3 linked regions of the Lepisosteus oculatus genome follow. The protein of the gene in region 1 interacts with the protein of each later gene in a pairwise test. Links are inferred from orthologs where the notes say so. Each region holds a gene or a part of one and is shown on either strand. Other genes may lie near its edges.

Region 1 (3,753 bases):
TTGAAAAGACCAACAGTCTGTGTAATTCTCAAGTCCTTCCATCAGGTCTGTCAAGGATATGAAAATGGCTTTCCTTAGTTAATAAAACATTCCAGCACTCCATCTCTTCCACCCCAGATGTTTTAAGAACCACAGGACTTGGCTATTACCATTAACATGCTACTGTAAGACAGACAATAAGAGTCATGCTGCTGATGCTCGGGTTATTTATTCCTAGAATTTCTAAAAGTGTATTCAGTGCAGTCTGAAACGTATTGCACAGAGCAATCACCCTCTGCTTTCCATGATGTGGTCTGTCCCTCACACAGCCAGTTTCCTGATTTGTCTGGACTAATATGCTGATATATCTCATTCTCCAGGCAACGTCTCTCACAGATTGGTGGCTTTCAATCATGTACATACTGTAGCAACCAGGACAACTTCATAACTTCCAAGAGGGTTCTGATCACATCTTTCATGGTTTTTACACTGCATAAACTGTTGCTTTTTTGAATGCCTAATTATACAAATGCATAGTAAAGTCACACGAACCACTGAGGATCCAGTGTTTTAATTAAATCAAATGACTTGTGGTCAGTATTTTCGTATCCCAAGGAGCAACATTTCTCAAACAATCAACAAGCCTATCTACTCAACGTTTCAATGAAAAGTGCTTTAAGTGTGGCTCCAATGAGCTCGTGGTGAAAAGTATATGCGTCAGGTCGTATGTAAGATCACTTTATTGGCCATATACAATTTATTGTATTAGGATTGGAAATGAATGGCACAGTTGATACCTAATTGCTTAAATAAGACAGGTAAGGTAAGTGGAGTTTTTGCTTTCAATTTAAGACTATGTTTGAATGCAAGAACCGTTTCATTAAGGCGGTGCGGTTTACAGTCCAACTGAAATATTTTAGCGCTCAATTCAGTCTTTTAGTTAGCACATCAGCGGCATATAGAAAGGAGTTAGACCCTGACGGATCAGTTAATGATATTTAAAAGCATCCCGGACTGTATCGTTATTGTATGCTTGCAGCTCTGCAGTTACCTGTTATCAGAAAATCTTGCTTGTTAAAACAGTGCCCTGCTTTGAAAATACTCGCTCAGAAGGAAAGAATGGGCGGCTGGAAACAATCCGACCGCCCCTTCTCTCTGACCACTCCCGGGAAGCCTCTGATTGACAGTATTTTGCAGATCTGCTATCTGTGCGTTCGCTCTGTTTTGTTGTAGCTTACGGTTCGTGTGGACGCCGTGTATACGGTGCTAAGCATGTCCTCATTACATACATCAAGGTATCACCTCTAGCACTGTGCTGCTTGTACATATTATCCGTATTTCCTGATATCAGCAGGGATTTTTATTTTACATTTTTTATTTTTTTAAGGAAAACGGTCGGGACCTTGCGTTTGCCACAAACTTAGCAGGACACCGCACAGAAAGGATTTTGTCTCCTTTCATTTATCTTTCTTGTTTAATTTCATTAGTGAAATAAACATGGCGAGCGATTCTCCAGCCAGAAGCTTGGATGAAATAGACCTTTCAGCTTTGAGGGTAAGTTTGTATAAGTATTGGATGTTAATTGTCAGTGAATTTTTTGCTATCGAGACGGCGAAGAAAATGGGGCTGATGAGAACGCTTTGCACCTGATCAAGCTCTTGTGAATAATACGCACAGCCAGAGATGACACCAACTTGAACTGATGTAACGGGCGACGATGTCCTCACAATTTATCACAATTGCACCTTTGCTTTTAATGTAGTACGAGCTTGGAGTAAAATGAAACATATTTCTCGCTGAATTAATATTTAAATGCTGCTGAGTACCTTTTATACAATAGGGTTTTCAGGCTGCTGGATTGTACTCGTCCACATAAAGAAACACACACCCCAGAAATGCTGTGCTTGTGTTTTCTCCCTATATAGCCCTATTTGACAGACATTACAAAAAAAAATCAGTCAAGTGCAGTACATTCAAGCGGATCACGGAGAGTTGTGAAAATCCTTTTTAAAACAATTTTCTGAATTCTAGACAGAGTGGACATAGACTAAAAATCCAAAATTCTTATGTAATCCGGGGTTTTTATTTGCTGTAACACTGCAGAACATTTAACAGAAAACCACGGCTAATAAAAGACAAGAAAATCCCACCTTTTTTTATAATGTCACAATTGTGATTTGTGGTGATGTCAAATTATAATGCCTTTACGAAGGGAAAATATAAAATGTTTACCACCCAATAATCGCGGCATGAGATGTAGTTTAGAGCCTCTCAGTTTTACAGCGGATCACCTAATATACCATATTTGTTTGCCAAGCAAACATATACAGTATATCTTCATGTACTGTACGATGTTTTTAGCATTTCACGGTATGGAGCGTTTTTCAGTTTAATACCCAGCTTCATGCTGCCAGCATTAGAGCGAAAATGATAACTGAATATGGCTCGGTTTGTGCACAATGCTAGATGTTTGGTGGCGATTCTTTTGTCTCAATTTTTCTATTAATATACTGTATGGTAACGCTGTGGGCTTTGCTGCTAGCTTCTGTTTTTGCCTATCGCAAGGTGTATTTGTTACCTTATTGTCACCATTTGTGTCAAGTTGAACGTGTCCAACTAAATCCTGTGGAGTGCTCATTTTCAAAATGAGTTATTATGCGATGTAACCTTACCTGCTTTAATGTGGTTTTGATTCGTTAGTGCCTTAAGTTAATTTATGCATAATATCATCATTATAAGCAGTGCTAAAACAGATCATCTTAACAATGTTAATCCTGCAGCATTTCTGTTAATTTAATTTAAGGGCACATAAAGACATGGGACATATCTTTGAGATATATAACATATTGTGGGATATTGCCTCCCATTTTAATTTTTACGAGTTTTTTAATTCTCTGTAAAATGCTGATAGATTCATCCGTATTACCTACAATGCTTACTCACTGAAAACATATTTTTTCCATTTATGATTTAGACGTTTCCCTTAATTTCATGGTTCATAATCAAATACATATATTTAAGATTACCCGGAATGTAGAGTTTCAACAATGTTATGTATTTTGGTATTGGAATGTCTATTAGCAGCTTTGCAGAGATGGACTACATTTTGAATGTTGAGTTCTACTTGAACCATACAGCCTAAAATCCAGGCAACAGAATAGTTATTTATAATAGGCAAATCATTTAGCAGTCACGTGTCCTACATATACACGAATGAAGATGTAATTGACTGTAACTTGCATAAGTGTGTTTTCTGTTATTCAAGAAGGCAGTCCTCCTGTGTGTAGTACTGTATGTAACAATGTATTTCTACACCATGTGAGCTACTGTACATATGTGATACCTCTGCACAAGCAAAAAATTCACTTTTGATTGCTGCAGAATATTTGTTTCACAAAGTCTTCATTTGTAATAGTGCTACAGGTCTGAACTCACTTTGGTATGGGAAATGTAGGAAACCTTTTTTAAAATAAAAACAAAAAACAGGACCAGTGATGTGTGTTGAGTTGTTTAGGATAATTAAGATGCTCTACAGGAGATAATGGCTGGATGCAATAGCTGCCTGTGTGCACTTGTACAAATGTTGTAGATTTTTTTGCTTCTTATCTGTTATAGCTTCACTGCAAATGGCACTCAGTTATTGTCTATTGGCACTGCACCTATACCATGAACAGTATATGTTTTATATTCCCACAGCAATAGGGAGGTGTAACTGGTAGGGTTCAATAAAACTTTGCTCCACGGCAAAATAGACCAGGGATACATTGTAAAAAC
Region 2 (3,753 bases), on another chromosome or scaffold:
CGGAGCGCTGGCGTCGTCACGGAGAAATAAAGGGACTGAACTGGGAAGCGCATAGCAACGGGTTCGCGGTTTACAGCAAGGACACGGCGAAACCGGCGCCCCAAACGCCAAAATCCCTCCCCCCCCCCTAAAAAAAAATCAAATAAAATCTTAAGGAGCGGTGACTTGTCACTTTCAGGGCAAGGCGTCGCAAGTTGGGAGATCCACCCTGCGGTAAAAGCAAGGCAGGCAGGCAGGCAGGCAGGGAGGGAGGGAAGGAAGGGAAAAAAAAATCCAAGCCCTGTTTTTCTGCTTTCCCTCTCGCTGGAACTGCCGCCTCCTTACTCCACCCAGAGCTGACAAGGGGCAGACATCATGAGGGCCGCGCACAGCCGGATCACGCCGATTGCGAACCAGCAAATAACACAACGGAAAGAAAGCAGCCCCCCCCCCCCAAAAAAAAAAATCGGACTGACCGAACCAACCGGCAACTCCCCCCCACCCCCATCTTCTTCTTACTCATTCAGCTTTTGATTTTTTTTTTTCCGGCGATCGCTCTCGTCTCTTGCTCCACCCTGCCCCCCGATGCCGGTGTTGAGCGTGTTGATCATGGCAGACCGGGAGAGAAAAAAGGATCGTCAAAGGTATCTCCACCAAAAAAAAACAACAATCTATCCCCTCCCCCAACAGTGAAAAAGAAGCGATTGTATCCCTCCCCAGACCGACAGACAGAAATCACGTTTTAGCTCCATACCGGTGTCTTAACAGACCGGCTTGTCCCGGCTCCTTTCCTCCAAACCACTTGTGAATCCCTGCCAAACCCAAGGCTTTTTTTCCACCCTCATCTTCAACTGAAGTCATATTACGCGTCCAAAACTGAACTGTTAACGTCACAAGTGTCATTGCAAAATGCAGCAGCACATAATTGAAGATGCCCGTTGGGTTGGTCCGGCGTTGGGTTGCAGTTAAAATAAAAGTGTGCGTCGATAGAAGCCACCAGCCAAAACAATACAGGCATTCAGGCAGCCCGAATTCAGATGAATATTAGGGAAAAAAACGCACCCTTCCGCACACAAATCCTTCAAGCAGCACCCCCAAAATAATTCGAAAGAATACAAAATTCTCCGCGCAGCAGATGGAAATGAAAAGTTACGATTAAAGGACCGAGCAACATGGGCAAAAAGATCATTTCAAGGTCGGAAAAATGTAACCTGTTTTTAAAGCCGGGCGAACGCAGGGCAGATCTTTTAGCTAGGAGGTTACCCGGGACAACGTAACAGGTTTCTATCATTACAAATGGGCAAAACAATTAAGCCTATTTTGTGAGAAACCCATCGCTTGTACTGGTTGGTCTGGGAGAGGTGTAAAAGCAGACAGGATGGCGATTTTCGCTGGACTGTACACATGCCACGCCGGTATTCAAAACACTTTCTAACAGACCTATCATTTCGATCAAAAATAAGCCCTTCGTTCTCTTTTTTTTTTTACTAACCAAACTCTGAACACTACGTGAATTTGTTAACAGCGTTTGAAGGTCTTTGAAAACGCTGCATTCCTTCAACCAGAAGCAAAATGACAACATCAAATCACCTTCCCATCTGAGCCATCTGCAAGGTTACACCAAATCAGAAGATATTTAAACGCCTCCCTTCAGCCCTGCTGATGAAGTTGGGCTAATTCGCAAATCAATTAAGAATGCATCCTCACGAAAGCCACCAGAAAATGACCTACATTTTAAAAAAGACCAACCACAAACTTCTAAATATGTGTCCTCATCGATTGCAAGTTCCCACCCCTCTTACCGAAGCCCTCAAATTCGAATATACTTTCTGCTGTCACAGAATATTTTTTTTAAAAAAGCATAGAAAACCATAAACAGGAGGCACAAACTCACGTCTTTGGTTAAAAGACTCCGTAAAATACCAGTCGAGCTGAAAAAAAACGCAAGTCAGTGGAAGGACAACTTGTAAAAATGACTGTTTTAATGACTGTTATTTTTTTTTTTCATTTTTCTGCCTTTGCTGTTGCTCTAACGGCCTGGCCGCCATTTTGAGACACAGAAAGGAGGCGCAAAAAAATTGCAGCCACATCGTCATTTTTACCACCTTGTTTTCTTAAACACAAAATCAACACCGGAAGTTAAACCGCACAAATCTTACCGTATTGTCTTTCCTCCTTCTCCTTCGCCGGGTCAGGTACTCATAAAGCACAAGATGGGGAGTATTTTTCGGTACAAAGCGAGGGACTTCGGATTTCACTGGCTATGTCTATCTCCTTGTCTCTCCTCCGATCCTTGTTTTCTGTACCGCATTCGCCTTCGGACGCAGGGCACGCGCACGGACTCGCGTTCGCAGTCTGTTTGACGGAGGCGCGCACGCCCCCCCCCCTCCACCTCCTCCCCCGCACTTCAGCAGCGTCGTTCGTTTTTCGCGGGCACGCGCATCGAACGTCCTCTTCCTTGTTCACGCCCGAGCGCGCCCCGACGTCCCTTACGTCATCAAACTGCTGTGCTGTGGGACCGTAGGGTGTAGGATATTGTGCGCATGACTTTCCGGCTGTAGGGGGGGAAAGGGGGGGTTTGAAGACGTCAGGTCTGACAGCGCTAATTGTCATCAATGAATATATCTCTATTACCTATGTACGCATGACCCGTTCAGATCACTTTATCACTGACAAGTAACTTCGATATACTTTCACTGCTGCAGCAGAGAAATGCATCTTCAGCAGCCGGAGGGAACCTCAGCAAGGGTCGCAGTTATTTATACTTTATGTATTTTATTTCTTCCATCATACATGTCTGTTTCTTATTTCTTAATGGGTTCATGTCGTGTTAAATGTATCGTGTTATGTCTTTTAACTGCCTTGGAAAGTAAATTTCCCTTCTGGGTCTTTAAAGCAAGTACCTTCCTTCCAGAAAAATTAAGTTGCTGGTTTAGCTTATGAAGATGAATCAGTCACATTTTAGCAACTGTTATTGTAAAGAGAACCTATCAAATTAATGTCTAATCTTGTGTTCTTCCACTTGCAGAAATGCACCTTCCTTCTGCTTTCTTCCACAGCAAAGCCCCACACATGAAGCAAAGTTTGCATCCCAGGGCTGCTATACAAAGGCACACCTGTACCCGGGCTAGACAGAGAATATTACTTCCAGCGGCGATAATGCAAAGCCATCTTTGTTATTTGGAAGTGGCTTTAATAAGGAATGCCATTGGTCATCGCTTAATGGCGGGAACAGAAGGATTTGTGTAAAAAGACCAACCCCAAAACAGGCTGAACCTGCAATACACAGATTAACGTCTTGTCTACTATCCTGTTGTCTGTAGGATATAGGAAGGATGGGGTTAGGTGCTGAAGACCTATTCAATGAGGTTTGTACAGGGCAAGCTCCCAGCAGCACAAAGCTGTGGCACAGGTGCTATTCAGGTAAGCACTATACTGTGCTACACACAGGTAATCACACACGGATCCATCAGTGATACCATGTGCCACAACTAGCATATCATCCACAGGTATAAAGACAATCCCAAGTCTTCAGTAAAAAAAAAAAATCACAACTCTATTCCTCTTTAATAGTCTTTTTTTAATTTGCTCATTTGAATACAAAAGCATACATGGACAAAGAAAACAAATGAGATCCAGCTAGCCGCAGAGAAGAGGGACACGGTGACCCCTTGGCCCGAGAAGTCAAAGCACGTGCACCAGGGTACTTGCTCCCTGGCATCCTGCCGTCAGGGGCATCAGTGCGTGTCCGGCCGCAGCAGACGGCAGGCAGTT
Region 3 (3,753 bases), on another chromosome or scaffold:
TGTAGGTTGTTACAAATGTTACTTGCATTTGTTTTTGTTGGTCCAGTCAACAAATTATTTCACATCTCTTTTCTTGTAAAATGGATCGGAGTTGAGAATTAGCCTGGAAGCTTTACCTTTTTCTTCAGCACTGCCCTGTTTTCTGCTGTGTCTACATTGTCTGTGCACATCTTATCTGGGACACTAGCATGTGCCCTGTGAGAAGACAAATCACCAACTGTAATTTTTTTACGTTCTATATTAATATATCAATGTATCTGTTTCTCAGTAAGACTTCGAAGTCTTGCACATGTTGAAATCCTTAAAATTTATACATCATGTATTGGTATAGGAAAGACAAATCATGATTAATCCATGCAATCATATGAAGCAGGATTGTATCTTGAGTGGAATGCCTTTCTGTCACATGGAAACACATGAACACAAACAATTTACAGATTCCAATTATCCAGTATGACTCTGGAAGATGAGATAAAATGAGCACTTCGACAATCTGTCATATATACTGGGAGTAGGGGGCAGATGTACACACTTCACACAGAAAACCTAAATTAAGAAGTGAAAGGGGTCAGCATTAACCTCTGTCACTGTGCTGCTCTCAATTGTGTTTTAGTAATCCTGAATAAAAATACCATTAAAGAATGTAAGAATGTGCCATTTTGCCCACATAGCACAATATATTGCCATCTGCTGTTCAGAGTAAATAAAAGCAAGCCATTACTAGCAGACTCAATCCCATCTTTTTGCTTCACAGCCAACTAGTTTTAAAGTTTTAATAACTTACTTGAGATATAAAGAGTTCACAGGGCCTATTTTCATATACTAATCTGTAATACCTGACAGTTCGCGAATACTCTCAGATGAGTCTTACCACAGAAAATGAACAAAAACCGAACCTGATATACTGTTTTCACATTAGCATATAAATAAAATGTAATTCCTAACAAGATAAAAAATACATTGAAATCTTAGAAAACAAATCTTAAAATAAAAAGGCTACATATATTGCTTTACAGTTGTGAATACAAACAACCCAATATATCTACAGCAGAAACATCTGTTAAGTTCGAAAATCACTTGGCTCTGACGATGTCAGTTTAAACCTCAGAACCTTATCTATTACATCTTAAGTTCTGAGTAATGATAATGTATAATTTCTCACATGCGTTTCCATGACAACACATATTCATCGCTGTTAAAATCAGATTTTACTTGTTATATACCCTTCAGGCAGACGGAAAAACAAGTTTTTCTCCGTTAAACAGCCTGTATTATTACTCATAGAGGAAGGTGACACGATAAATGCGTTGCAGTATCTTTCTCAACGCAAAGTGCAAATGCACCAAAACACGTGAAAAGAAATTCGCCGTGGTTGTTGCTAGCGTCAAATTTTAAACTATGCAGGAGCCGGGCCGGCGGAAACGCAAAGAGCGCTCTGTCAATGCGGACGTGCTCCCTGCGCGTTTGCGTCAGTGCGCGGACTGCAATACAGTACACGGCACCGGCTTAGGAAGGCACCATGGCGGACAAGGCACAGACACAAGAGGCTATTAAAAAGCAAGGAGAGGTTGTCAGGAAATTAAAAGAGCAAAAAGCTAGCAAGGACCAGGTCAGTATGGGCTCTTCAGACCTATTATTTTATTATAGAAACCACATTTCGTAACATTAATTTTGATTAAGCTTAGTGAAGCCAGCAAAGGAAGGGGTGGGTTCAACGCTGTCATAGAATAGAGAGAAAAATGAAAGGCCTGGGTACTTGAACCACACGGTAGGACCGTAAAAGTCTAATTAAACACAATTAACGGTGCAGCGTGCACATAGCTAATTGTGCTCTAATACGCGTCATTGCAATCTCCGTAAATAAGGCGCTCACGGTGTTTTTAGAAACAATGTTCATGCCTGGTTTGAGAAGAATTGCCGCAAAGTCCTTCTCACATAGAACTGCTCTGCGTCCATTATAAAGAGACATGTATTCATATTTGTCGCTGAATTGAAACCTTTCGAGGCTTGTGCGGGGTAGTTCCTTGCGGTACAGTAGTGCATCCCTTTTTGCCCGGCTGATGCAATCAGCTTGTAAGGTCCGTGGCTGCTTTGTCCTACATAGAAACTGAAAGTTAACATTGCATATAAATAAATTAAAAAACGAGTTCCTTATGCTTCAAAGCACGGGTATACAGGCTATACATTTTATTTTTTTTGTCGGGTGGGATCCGGTGAGGGAGTTCATTTTACCTTTATTTTGGCAGAGCCTGACAATATTACGTATGTGCAGTAACTGCTGGGGTGCCTATGGGCTGAACTGTCGTAGCCCGTTAGTATTGTAAGAAACTTTGGCGGTCTGCTCGTTTTACATAGAAGGCTTCTGCCCTGGGTCTGGTGTTTGGGTGCATATTGCAGTGTTATCCGAGTGACCCCTCATTAAGCACACCGTTCTGTTGAAGTGTTCCACTGTCCTGTGCGAGTCGGTTGATTTTGACTGTTGCTCCCCCTCCATGTTTTGCCTCCACGGTGATTCTGCGGACTCGCGTGCTAGGGTTGCTGACCAGTTTTCTCCTGTTCTCCCTGCACGTGCCACCCGGGCCTCCGCACCGACTGCCCTCTGCGCCCGGCCGTCGCCCTCGCATAAACCGTATTCCGGACCTCTTTTTGTTTTTCCTGGACGACACTTTCACTTTCCTGGGGGAAACGCCTGGGATGAATTAACGCGGGGGATTATTTTTTTTTTCTGGCCCTCAACTCATTTCCGGACGACCATGAACAAATTGGGGGCGTTTTCTGTTCGACTCTGGTCGGGACCTCTTGTTCACCGGTGTGGTCCGTTCCCTCGTGTTCTGCGTGCGGTGTCCTGCAACCCTAACACACAGGTATGCTGATGGGGGGGGAGGGGATACACATTATAGAAACAGCACTCCACGGTGGCACAGTGGTAAGCTTTGCTGCCCCACAGCCCTGGGGCCCTGGTTTCAGTTCCAGACCCAAGGTGCTGTCTGTGTGGAGTTTGCATGTTCTCCCTGTGTTTGTGTGGTTTACCCCTAGGTCGAATGGCTTCCTCCCATAGTCCAAAAACATATTGGTAATTAATTGGCTTATGGGAGTACTGGCCCTAGGTGTGCATGTCTTTGTGTCCTGTCCAGGGTATATTCTGGCTTGTCCCTTTTACCTGCTGAGATAGGCTTTCTCTTCCCTGCTACCCCGAATTGGAAGCAATGGTTAAAAACTGTCTGGAGAGATGACCTCATGACACCCTTTTTACTCTTTTGCAATGCCCTGTACATATTGTAGGACCATTTCATCCAGTATATGATTTTGATAGTAAACATTCAAATGAATTAGAATCAGATTAATAAGTTGCATTGTTCAGTGTCAACTTAGCGTTTGAGCTATCAGGCAGAAACATTCAGTAGCAGTTAAGGTTCTGGACTCTGGACCGGAGAGCTGAGATCCCAGCTGGGACAGTGCTGGTACTCTTGATCAGGGTCCTCTGATCGCTCCTGTAAGTGCCCTGCTGTATAAATGTGTCTCCAGCCTGTCACCTGGCAGAACAGATAACATTATCTTGGTGCTTTTTTCTTGTTTTCTCTATCTGTCTGGTTGTATACTGGAGCCCAAGAAGACTCTGGTAGAATCACAAGTCTTGCCACATGTCATACCCAGTGTTTTGTATCATTGTGTAGTGTATGAGTGTCGTTAGGTCTTGTCTATACTATATTATAAAGATTAGTCTTTTCATTTTAAAACCATTGATGTCTTATG

What was found.
Region 2: the proteins of tnika (region 1) and pafah1b1a interact in a two-hybrid assay, tested with the Homo sapiens proteins (2 studies listed by BioGRID and IntAct). The link is inferred for Lepisosteus oculatus from reciprocal best matches to the Homo sapiens genes TNIK and PAFAH1B1.
Region 3: the proteins of tnika (region 1) and hars interact in a two-hybrid assay, tested with the Homo sapiens proteins (2 studies listed by BioGRID and IntAct). The link is inferred for Lepisosteus oculatus from reciprocal best matches to the Homo sapiens genes TNIK and HARS1.

Annotation. Positions count from the first base shown.
Region 1 is NC_090708.1:14,164,888-14,168,640, reverse strand, and holds the start of tnika (TRAF2 and NCK-interacting protein kinase), read left to right. Parts: upstream 1-1,191; 5' UTR 1,192-1,251; coding exon 1,252-1,274; intron 1,275-1,466; coding exon 1,467-1,533; intron 1,534-3,753. UniProt on the Homo sapiens protein: Serine/threonine kinase that acts as an essential activator of the Wnt signaling pathway. Recruited to promoters of Wnt target genes and required to activate their expression. May act by phosphorylating TCF4/TCF7L2.
Region 2 is NC_090721.1:6,261,665-6,265,417, forward strand, and holds the start of pafah1b1a (lissencephaly-1 homolog A), read right to left. Parts: upstream 2,478-3,753; 5' UTR 2,139-2,477; intron 823-2,138; exon of another isoform or gene 734-822; intron 1-733. UniProt on the Homo sapiens protein: Regulatory subunit (beta subunit) of the cytosolic type I platelet-activating factor (PAF) acetylhydrolase (PAF-AH (I)), an enzyme that catalyzes the hydrolyze of the acetyl group at the sn-2 position of PAF and its analogs and participates in PAF inactivation.
Region 3 is NC_090706.1:32,650,132-32,653,884, forward strand, and holds the start of hars (histidine--tRNA ligase), read left to right. Parts: upstream 1-1,609; intron 1,610-2,533; 5' UTR 2,534-2,753; coding exon 2,754-2,864; intron 2,865-3,753. UniProt on the Homo sapiens protein: Catalyzes the ATP-dependent ligation of histidine to the 3'-end of its cognate tRNA, via the formation of an aminoacyl-adenylate intermediate (His-AMP). Plays a role in axon guidance.